2 linked regions of the Caenorhabditis elegans genome follow. The protein of the gene in region 1 purifies or fractionates together with the protein of each later gene. This does not show direct contact. Each region holds a gene or a part of one and is shown on either strand. Other genes may lie near its edges.

Region 1 (5,460 bases):
AAAAAAATACAAGAGCGAGATTAGCTATAATTGAAATATCATTGAATTTTCAAAGAATTATTCGCATATATCTGAAATGACAATACCTTTTTGAAACTTTTCGATGTCTTATTATCCACAATCATAGTCACCGGAATATTTTCTCCACACACGAATCCTTGTTTAGGAAGGCGGAGCTGAATATTATTGTGCTTATTTTCAGAGAATATTCCTCATTTTACCTCCATTCTCACAAGCCCATTCTTCCACAAAACTGCACCAAATTCTTCACAAACGTGCTTCTTTGATGGAACCTGAGAGTTGGGAATTAACCTCAGGTCAATATTTGGGAGCACGGTTAGGCAGGTGATAAACTTGTCGTCGAATTTCCATGGTCTATCGATTTCCACCTTTATAAAATATCGAATGAATCCAAGATCTCCTTAAATTGGAAAATGGATTAGATTTTAAATTTGAAAACAAAACCTTCAAAACTCGGTGGAGCCCAGTGAGGGAGTTGGAATGAAAACGGGAAGATGTGTGGGCCAGAAGGCATATCGTTCTGGAAAATATTAATTTTGTAGAATTACTATAATTATGCTACCTTTGCTCCATCACTTTTCCATACGATGGTCTCGAAGCGACAATACACAATTTTCCCCTTGTGATCTGCACAATTGTGTCGGACTCTAGCAATATCACCGTTTCTGAAAATGGTATCATTGAATTAGTGAGTTAACAAATGTCTAGAAGTTACTTGATTTTAGTGTGATTATTTCGAACATTTCCCTCCCAGTATGTGTATGCTTTTCCGATCATTTCCATTCGAACTTTTCGAGCTTTGAACTCGTCATCTGGTATTGTCATTTTCACATTTCCGGTGACTTTTTCTCCCGGAGAAAATACCGGAGGAGATTTAGCAAATTCCACCAAACAAGTGGCCATGATTCTGAAAAATGTTTCAAATATCATGATGTAGGGTGTAAGACGCGGTTTCGTAAATATCTAGGTTAAACTAAACCATTCTTAATTTGAATGTAAATTAAATACAATGCACTAGGATTTTTATTTGAGAAAAAAATCTTTGAAATACCAAAAATACATGTATTTTTGAAAAAAAAAAGTTGGCTCCCTAAAAAAACCTTGAGCAAAAACCAAGTTATTGGTAGTTCAAACCACAAAAAAAGGGGAGTGTCCTAATTAAAAGTTTTTGCTCAAATGAGCACATAATCAGGTTATGTGCTCTTTCCGTTTTTGTCAGATCTTCTAAAAAAGAACAAAAATGCAATTTCAGAGAACAAGACGAATAGGGGTGCATAAAATTGGAGCACGAAAAAATAAATTGATGTGTTCCATTTTTTCTCTGCCTAAAAATATACATTTTCTCCGCGAAATGGGACAAAAACGAAACAAAAAAGAGGGAAAGACGAAACTAAACCGGAAATTTGGTTGAAATTCGAGAGATTTTCAGCGGATTTTTCGGTGGTTTTTGGTTATCGCGGCACAGGAGAGGCATTTGATTTTATTTTCCTTCTGAAAACAGAGAAACGAGGAAAAAGAGCCCAAAAAATAATCAAATGAGCTTGACATGAGAAAGAGCACAGAGCAAAAACAATTTTCCCCATATCTTTTTTCGTTGATCAATGTTTTACTAGGGGCTCTCCATATTTACTCAACTCACGTATAATTTGATAAATGTAATGTGGGTTGATCGGTAGCAAGACATTATAAATCAAGAAGAAATTTATGAAATTCAACAATTCTTCATAGAGAAAATAAAAATGAGCACCTGCAAGTCTACATGGTAAGCGAAATTTTCCTTCAAAGTGATCCTTTTTTTTTGCCCAGAAAAAGTTTATCACTCGAGTCCATTTATTTTTCTTAACACACGTGCTTGTGGTACACAGCACAAGATATTAGTGACTGTGTGAAAAGTTCAAGGGCGTGTAATGGTCTGGGATTTTCATAAGTAGATTCGATTTTCCGTTAGACAAAAAGTGCCTTGCGTCGCCTTTTCTTAGTTTGAATTAAAAATATATTAAAAATCCAAATAGACTTCTTTATCTTTTCGAATTGTTTTCAACACATTTTTAGAATTTCTAGCACATTCTCTCTTTAACTTTCTTTCAACCTTCAATCCTAGCACAATTTCAATAATTTCAAAATTTTTTGAGACAATTTCAAGTTTATTTTCCGGTTCATTACACTTTATGTCGGTTTGCCCACTCCCCATTCTCAAGTTATTTTCAATTTACATCCGAATGTATTCTAAGCTCTATCCAACATCTCCAAAATTTTACGGAACACATCAGACAAAAGAACGGCTTTTGCATTTGGTAACTTTAATTTCTAGTCAGCTGAAACAACTGAATCGAGGTGAAAATGTCCCAAGGGTACGTTGACAATTCTAAACTAATCTATCAATATTGTTCAGACGAGAATGGTTTCAAATTTAGCTGGAAATGCTCGGAAGGACTTGATTTTTGAAATTTATCTAAATTTGATAAGCTTCTATAAAACTTCCGATCGAATGGTGTCTATTGAAGGTTCACAAACAAATTTGAAATGTCTTCTAGGTAAGAGCTGACTTCGCAAACTCACTTATAACTCAACAATTTCAGTATCTGCAAAAATGCTGAGTTCATTCTTCTTGGACGTCTTTACTAAAATTCCTACAACTCACATTGAAAGTGGGTTTGATGAGTTTTACATATCACACAGCTTCACTCAAGAAGACGTGGCAATAACTTCAACGTGGCGTATGATAAGCCAAGCTGCAATCGGACATCACGAGCATCATCTGGAAGTGAAAAGAGCATGTCAGGAACAGAAGGCATTTAGAGAATCATTTCTGAAAACGCAAACAGATTTTGATATTGATTTTGAAAATGCTGAAGCTGAACAAGAAACACAACTTTTGTCGATCGAATATGCTGTGCTCATTATACAAAAATTAGAGAGAAGTTGATATTATTTATTGGCTGTTATTCAACAATCGCTGTAAATATTAATTTTCAGAGTATCAAGCAATTTCTCGTAGAAACTATGTCCGTTTTGTTAGAGAACGAGCAGCGGAGCTTCATGGTCTGAAAGTCGAAATAGATGCGACGCAAGCGGCAATTAGGATTCAGGCGGTGAATTTAAATTTACTTTTCTTCAATGCTGTCATGACAGGCGCTCCTCTTTAGGCATATTGTCTCATGCCTACCTAGGTAGGCAGCCATTTCTGTGCCATGGTGGAAAGTCAACTTTACAAAAATCCGAATATTTCCTTTATTTCTATAGAATTTTTTCAGAGAACCCGTGGATACTTTGCTCGAAAGTTGGTTCGAGAAATGCGCGAAAAAGAGCTGAATATTCTGAATATGACTCCAGAAAGTTATATCCGAAAGAGATGTGCAGAGAGGGAGCGGAAAAGGAAGGAAGGTCTTGCTGGTGGCGTTGGTGGAGGGGAAATAATTGAACAAATTGAGGAGTTTGTGAGCCTTTATTTTTTGAAACAAAATTTTGATCTATTTTTTATTTATTTTAGAACACCGACTTAGCCGAAGCATTGAAACTTCTAAAGACACATTTCTTTTTCCCGACTTCCGATCTTACTGATATAAAACCATCTGCACTTCCGATTGATTTGAACAACCAGGAAACTATATTCAGAGATGCTTGCTTCCGTGGAATCGTATCCCCACTTGCACAAATTGAACTTTCAGAACTAACTTCCCAGAGGGAAATATGCAAAATTGAAAATCGGCAATTTAAATTTGATTTCCGCTCATTCCTTGTTCAAACCGTCTGTACTCCATGTTCACTTGGCACGTGGCAAAAACAAAAGTCGAAAGATCAGAAAATGCAGTGGCTATTGCTGTCAGGAGCTCCAGACTCGGGGAAGACTACGTGGGCGAGAGCAATATCGCGTGCATGTCATGTCACACACGTTCACATTTCGAAAAATGTCGTGAATATGGGAAAACGCAAAATTTATACGGTGGTTAAAAAGCTGGCAAAACAGGAAAAACGACTATTGGTCAGTATTGATCGAATTGACGTGATGAAGAAGGATCCCAAGCATAAAGGGTACACACATCGACAGGTACCGTACAAAAAACTATTATACTATGCACAATTGTTTTAAAAACACACGTTTACAGATACTTCTCCGAAACTTCCTATCCGATCTTTCGAATATAAAATTTGTTATGGTAATTGGGATGACAAGAGTTCCCCTGGACGACTTGGATAGTTATATTTCTGATTTATTCCCTCTCCAAGCAACTCTCAGTAACCCAACCAACGCAACTAGATACGGTAGGCCACATCAACTACAGTAATATAGTTTTCAAGTTTTCAGATCTTGCGGTAGATTGCTTAAGTCGGAACTGGGAACAAGAACGGCTGCCAAAGTTTCCAAATCGAATTTTTGACATCGAAAAGCAGACAAAAGATCAAACAAGAGGAAAAGCGGCAAAGTTTGTGACAAATCGATGGAGTGCCGCGAATAATAAGACAACTTTATCATAAAGTTGAAAACAACATTTTAATCATCTGGTTTTCTGGCACCAGTTTAGATTAATTCACTTAAAATATTCAATGAAATTAACTTTATTCAATAAATTACTTAAATTTAAATAAAATTACTTTATTATAATCATCATGGTATAAAGTGAATCAAGGACGAATTGGAGCAGGAACGTAGATTGGTGGCACCAATTTCATAGTGGGACGAGATGTGGTTGTTGGTGATTTCTTCATCGATTTGTAAATAGCCATATTGAAACCATTTACAAAATAATTACAAAAGATGAGAAAGAGAATTGGCACAAGGAAGAGCTTCATTTCTTGTTGGAAATGAATTGAACTTTGATTCTTGGACTGAATTTTTTATTCGTGGAAAGTTCACATTACTGTTCAAAAATTAAAACATTTATATTATGGACAACTCGAAAACTTATACAAATTACCAATACCTTATAGCATGATCAAAGTTCATACTTCTATTGCATCCTCTATAGGAAAACGTAGGAGATTTTGTGTTTTGCACAACAAATACCAAAAATTGAATATAACAACTGAATCCTTGCTACGCCCTTATAAAAACTGATGAAGCTCATTGACATTGGGAGGGTTTCAGACCTGGGAGCTCCAAAATGAATCCCTCGTTTCAAAACTGCAACAAAATATTTAAATGTCCATCTGCGTGAGCGGTTCGTAAGTTATGGGCCAACTATTTAACTGCTGACCCGCTCAGAAAAGGTTTTAACAGAAGGAAATAAAAGCATCGGCAAAGGCAGTTTGTAATTCTCCACACTTTCCTTTGATTTTATTTCGACTAAAGCTTTTAAGCTTTTAAAATTTAAAAGTAAATGTTGTTATCCACACATGAATATACATATATGTAAACATCATTGGTACACTGTGAAGTTTAAAACATTTATTTCGTTAGAATCAATCAATAGCTGCATAAATGGTTAGTTATCCTTTTTT
Region 2 (5,682 bases), on another chromosome or scaffold:
GGTTTTCTCTATTTTAAAGATTGTATATTAATCGGTCCCATACTTCTCCATCAGAGTAAAAGATTAATCTTACCTCTACTGGCTCCGCCACATAAATCGGTCCTTTTTCTGGATTTTTTGCCGCATTTTTTGAGTCGATTCTGGAAATTGGAAGGCAGAATTTTTAACGCATGTTGAAAATGTTGCAAATAATTTTAATATCATGTTGGTAATGTGTTGAATATTTTAACACAGTCAACGAAATATATATTGATAGACATCTCCCGAACTCATTTTTTACGATATATTTTTGAACGTATTAGTGTAAAATCATGTGTTTGAGTTTCAGAACCTTTAGGATATGCATTCAAAAATGGGCTTGCTAAATTTTGCCTTTACGGGTAAGTTAGGAAAATTCCCTAAACATTCTTTAAAATAGATGTTATTAAAGTTATTTCGGATTTCTATGAACTGAAAAACATTTAAGTCCCTCACTTTATCATATTTGTTATTTTTATTCAATATCCCCCATTACCTATAGTCACAGGTTATTTTTCAGTGACCACTGACTTTTTTACTAACAAACAACTCTTTGCCACTGCCTCGCCACCCCATAAATCCCTCTCAAATGTGCCAATTTTATCGGCCACAAAGTATCAAATTCTGGTGGTCTCCATCTCTATCCAGCGTATCCCATTCTTTGCCTAAATCTCTCTCAATTCAGCACTATTTCGTGATTCTCAATTTTTGATACTCCACTGTCATCACTGACTTTAAACCAGTGAAACAGTGCCAAATGATGTGGACACGCAGACATATGGATAATAATAATGTGGTAAAATAGTGCGAGATTTGATTCGTCGCAGAGAAATTGCTTCAAGATGTTGGAAGAATGGAATGGAAAAAGAGTTGCCGACTGGACGACAGATTGATGATTGAGTGAAAACGAGACCGCCCATTATTCATGGTTTCAATGATAGGGACACATGTTTGTTACGTCTGATTGTCAAAGTCTTCAAGATATATACACCTATAAGGCAGATGTATACTGCCTGAAAACGATCTACACATTTTCAGTCGAGTTGTCACTAAAAGTAGACACATGTTGCCTTCACGTACATTTTTGTCTGTTTGTTTGTCTTGTGAAAAGTACACCGATTTTTTGAACTAAATTGGAACCTGAGAAATTAATAGAAGTGTCAGTTTGTATATTTTCTACAAGGAAACCCTTAAATGCAGCCTACGCCTACTTGCAGTGAATTTCAAATTTTCTTCACATGATAGTATGGATAAGGTCGCCATTGGATACACATGCCTTGAATGCCTACAATATGCCTGTACCTTCATGAAAGTCTAGATTGAACATAGTTAACGTTTCTTTTGACACAGAAACGCTCAAACGGTAAATCCAGATCTAATTCCTTTTTTTAATGTTTTAACTCACCCGCATATCCGTTGAGTCAAAATTGAGCTGGATTGAGTGATATCAAACATACATCCTTTGAGCGCTGTTTCGTTTATTGTGAGCCCTACAATTTGTTTGAATTCAACTTTGTATTTTAATATTTTTTATTTTTCTATTCAACTCAAGCATCCTCTTCTAACACATGGCTCATAAAAATGAAGAAGAAGAAGAGAAAACATATAATTTACAAAATGTGTCGGTTGGTGGTGAACAAGTGCAAGTATAAACAGGGATGATGGAAGGACACATGTGTTGACACTTGCTAATTAGTCCAACAACTATGATTTTTTGAAGAAATGGGTTAAACTTTTCCGGGAATCTTGAGGTATCTACTGCCTACATTTTGAGATAAAAAATACAGTTTTATTGACCGGGAAAAGAAGAAATGGCGGGATTTGGCTTCGAAGCGAGTTCTTAGAAATTGTTTTCTTATTATACTTTTTGACTCGGTAGTTAAAAAAATTAGCTGCAAACCCCAACTCCCAATTTTTGTGAAGAATTCAGGGTAAAGAAAAAAACGGAACTGTTGTGCAAATACTCGAAAAGTTCAATTTAACAATTTTGCGCAATAATTGAAAATATGCTGAAATCATACTCAAAAAATAAGTTTTACAATCTTTGTATGTCCTTTTCAGCAATTTTCAAAAAAAGCTAACAAATTTCTATTAGGTCTATTTGAAATGTCATGTTCATCGGAATGATCTGCTGATGAATTTTCAATGACTCTCTTTCCTTTTTAAGCTTCTTCCTCTCTCTCTCTCTCCATCTCCTTCTTCTTTTCTCATTCATTCATCTTCATCAATTGTTTATTACGGAACAAACATAGAGAACAGCAACAACAACATACCGAGATGCTCCAGAATACTCCAAAGAGTACTCTTTTGCTCATTTCCGGCGCCGGCTCCAGCTTCCAAAAGGAGCCGAAAAGAAGACTAAAGTGCTCTTTTTGTTGGTGTGCTTTGAGGCAGCCGCTATGATTCTAGCACAAAAACTATTCTAGCCACTTGCAGCAAGCGTCTTTCCAGATTTATGAGATTGGTTTTCACTTAATATCGGGGAGGGAAGATTGAAATCTCTAATTTTAGGAAGAATTTTTCAAGTTGCAGAAACTCGTTTTGTTGTCATCATCGACATCGAGAAACTGGCAACCAGCAAACATGAGCAGTAATTCAAAAGTCTTTTTTCAAACGCAAATCGGAGAGTTTGAAGCAATCATTTTGTAAAAAAAAGCGAAATGAGTCAGATTTTTCTACTGATTTCACAATTAGATATAATGTTTCAAAAAATTTCAAGGTTGTTTTTACAGTCAGGAAGTAATTCGTTCGTTAATTCTTTCGGTAACTTACCGATATTTGGAGCTGAACACAATGTTGGAGAATAAACCAGAGAGTTTGCATGTGGACTTTGAAAATGTAAAGAAATATGTGAAATACATTTCAATGAGAATGATGTAGTCTCATTTTCAGAAATAGCTGATACAGGAATCGAATCCGCGTAGATGTGTCCATTGTGAAATGATAATGATAAGTTTTTGGACGGTGTGCTCAATATAATTGGTGCAGGATTAACCGATGGTCCGTTGATTTGTAGATCGAAAGTTAGGGGAGATGTGATAAGTGATATCAGTGCCAGAAAAGCCATCGGCACATTTGGCCTAGACTGTACTGAAATGGAGAAAGTTTTTGGTGGGCAGTAAAAGAGGCAAGAAGTATGTTGGTCTCAGACACAGAAAGAAGCTCAAGCCACGCCCATCAAAGAGGTTCGAGGGAGGAAATGAGGGAAGGAGAAGAAAGAGGAACAACTGACACATAGTACATCATAAGCTGGCAGAAGGTTGAGGAACGAATGAAAAAGACAGAGAAAAAGAGAAATGAGGAATCAGATGATAATAATAATGATTAGATTTATTAACAGGTATACTGCGGTTGACAGGAAGATAGAGATTGCGATTTTTCATGAAATCTTGTTTGATTAATGGAATAAAAAATTTTGAAGAACTTGGTTATCACATAATATTTTATTGAGTTAGTATGAGAGCAATACAAATCGATCAAATCATTGAATCAAAGCGAAAGCCACTATTGGGACAACAATAAAGGTTTTCCAGTGGTTGATAAAGTTTTTTTTTTCGAATCAGATAAAGACGATTATTCGGTTTTGGAGGAAGATGATGAACCGACAAAATTGTGTAATATGTAATTTTCTCATGTTTGGAACTATTTCTCTTTCCCGCAAATTCTCAACCAACTTCATCAACTTTAGAGATGCCTAATTTCTGAAATGAAGGCACGACTTCATGACTACCACCCTGCTTCTTGCTTTCCTGTCCTGAATTGAAATCCTGCGAGGTTAATGGTTAGCACATCTTAAATTTAATCTAATCTGAATGGAATAAGAATTTAGCCGAACAGCTTTGATTGAGTTCAGAAACAAAGACATATTACGATAATCACATATTATTTTATTAACTGCAATAGATTAATGTAATAAAGACTTTTGAAGAACTTGGTTATCACATAATATTTTATTCAGTTAGTATAAGTTAGCAACAGAGATCAATCAAATCATTGAATCAAAGCGAGAACGACCATTGGGACAACAAAGAAGGTTCCAGTGTTGTAAGCAGCTTTTGTGGCATTGGTTGAAGTTTCTCCGAGCAAGTCATCAACAGAAGTTACATTTGGTGCAACAGTCGATGAAAGCGATGGACGAGAAGCCCCTTCAGTTGTAGCTTCGATGTTATTGGCAGCTGGAGTATCAACTGGAGCATTGGTTTCAGCATCTTTAGTCTCTTGAGTGGCTTCTACAACAACAGCTTCTGTAGTTTCTTCAACAGCTTCGGTGGTTTGAACTGGTTCTGTAGCTGGTTCTGTTTCTGCAACGGCTTTGGCTGTTGTTTCGATGAGAGCCACAGTTGCATCTTCAGTGACTTTAGTTGCAGTCCTGGAATAGAAAAGTAAAAAAGAGTAATTATAGAGAACAACTCACACAGCAACGGCAGTATCGTCTCCATTGACAATTGGAGCCAAGATGAGGAGCATGGCGAACAAGATGTTGATTGATTGCATGTCGATTGATTTGGTGCAAGTTTGCAAGATGATGGTTAGTCGAATGTTAATGTTCAAGTGAGAACTGATTTTATTTCAATTTTCTCATCTTCACATCAACTTTTATCTCGATGTTTGATCGACCTTTACGTGAAATACGTATTCATTGGACATTGGAAAAGCTCACGTTTATCTTCAAAATATTTATATTAAAATAAAAAATCATATTCAGATGCTTTTTTCAATTAAAGCAAACCAGCTGTTATGTACCACTACAGCAACCTGAAAGTATCCTTATAAGTACTATCGGAGAACCCCAAAAACCACCCAAGAAAATGTTCTATAATTATATTTAATTAGGACTGGCAAACAGGATTGATAGTAAATTGGATCCATCACGAGCAGGAGTATGACTTTACGTTTTCAATCTCACAAAATTTGTGGGGGTCAGATGAAATAGGTCCAGTATACCGCGTTAGTGATAAAAAGAAAATATAACAATCTTCATGAAGTTATAATAAAAAACTAAATATATTTGATTCTCCTTCTGTTCCAAATCGATTTTCTATTTCTCCTCGATTTCGCGACTTCAAATTCATAATAATCGTAAGAAAACTTCTTTTCTTGAGCTGGATCCACCATTTTCTGCATTTGATACGATCGGCGTGGGCAGGGACAATATGATGCGTCGAGTCCAGGCTCTCCGTGGATTCCTCTCTGAAACGTGACTCAATATATTAAAACTTCAAAAATATTGAGCTACCTTTCCAATGATTCCTGACCTTCCACTTGCACCAGGCATACCAGGACGTCCTCTGATACCTGGCGATCCAGGTGGTGCTGAAATTGGGAACTAAATAGAAAAGTGAGCATGGAGGAAAGCCAACCATTGACTGTTCTTCCAGGCATTCCAGGTTGCCCAGTAAGACCTCGCGGTCCTACAGAACCTTTTGGGCCTCTTGTATTCATCATTTTCATTACAATAAGACCAGGTTCTCCTTCTTCACCACCTATTCCTCGTTTCCCAGGAGTTCCTTCTCTTCCTGCAGCCCCAACTGATCCAATTACTCCAGATTCTCCATTCGGGCCTGGGGGGCCAATGAGGCCCGGCGGTCCTGGAATACCATCAGATCCTTCCATACCTGGATCTCCTGGTGGTCCAGCAGGACACAAAATACAGTGCTCCGTCAT

Evidence for each region. Proteins that work in one complex are often made in the same cells at the same time.
Region 2: the proteins of ZK938.3 (region 1) and C48E7.6 fractionate together in Caenorhabditis elegans (co-fractionation; one large-scale study listed by BioGRID). This does not show direct contact.

Annotation. Positions count from the first base shown.
Region 1 is NC_003280.10:9,830,685-9,836,144, reverse strand, and holds ZK938.3 (ATPase AAA-type core domain-containing protein), read left to right. Parts: upstream 1-2,189; coding exon 2,190-2,372; intron 2,373-2,413; coding exon 2,414-2,555; intron 2,556-2,600; coding exon 2,601-2,942; intron 2,943-2,997; coding exon 2,998-3,113; intron 3,114-3,275; coding exon 3,276-3,458; intron 3,459-3,511; coding exon 3,512-4,069; intron 4,070-4,127; coding exon 4,128-4,284; intron 4,285-4,327; coding exon 4,328-4,497; 3' UTR 4,498-4,624; downstream 4,625-5,460. Other genes in the region: arrd-5 (Arrestin C-terminal-like domain-containing protein), read right to left, coding at 87-176, 222-421, 466-541, 584-686, 737-924; ZK938.12 (uncharacterized protein), read right to left, coding at 4,645-4,812; ZK938.1 (Serine/threonine-protein phosphatase), read right to left, coding at 5,449-5,460.
Region 2 is NC_003279.8:6,233,615-6,239,296, reverse strand, and holds the start of C48E7.6 (Chondroitin sulfate proteoglycan 4), read right to left. Parts: upstream 3,164-5,682; 5' UTR 3,086-3,163; coding exon 2,791-3,085; intron 1,509-2,790; coding exon 1,424-1,508; intron 724-1,423; exon of another isoform or gene 587-723; intron 141-586; coding exon 74-140; intron 1-73. Other genes in the region: C48E7.7 (MS Related Protein), read right to left, coding at 4,009-4,387, 4,433-4,512; col-56 (Col_cuticle_N domain-containing protein), read right to left, coding at 5,017-5,208, 5,255-5,331, 5,379-5,682.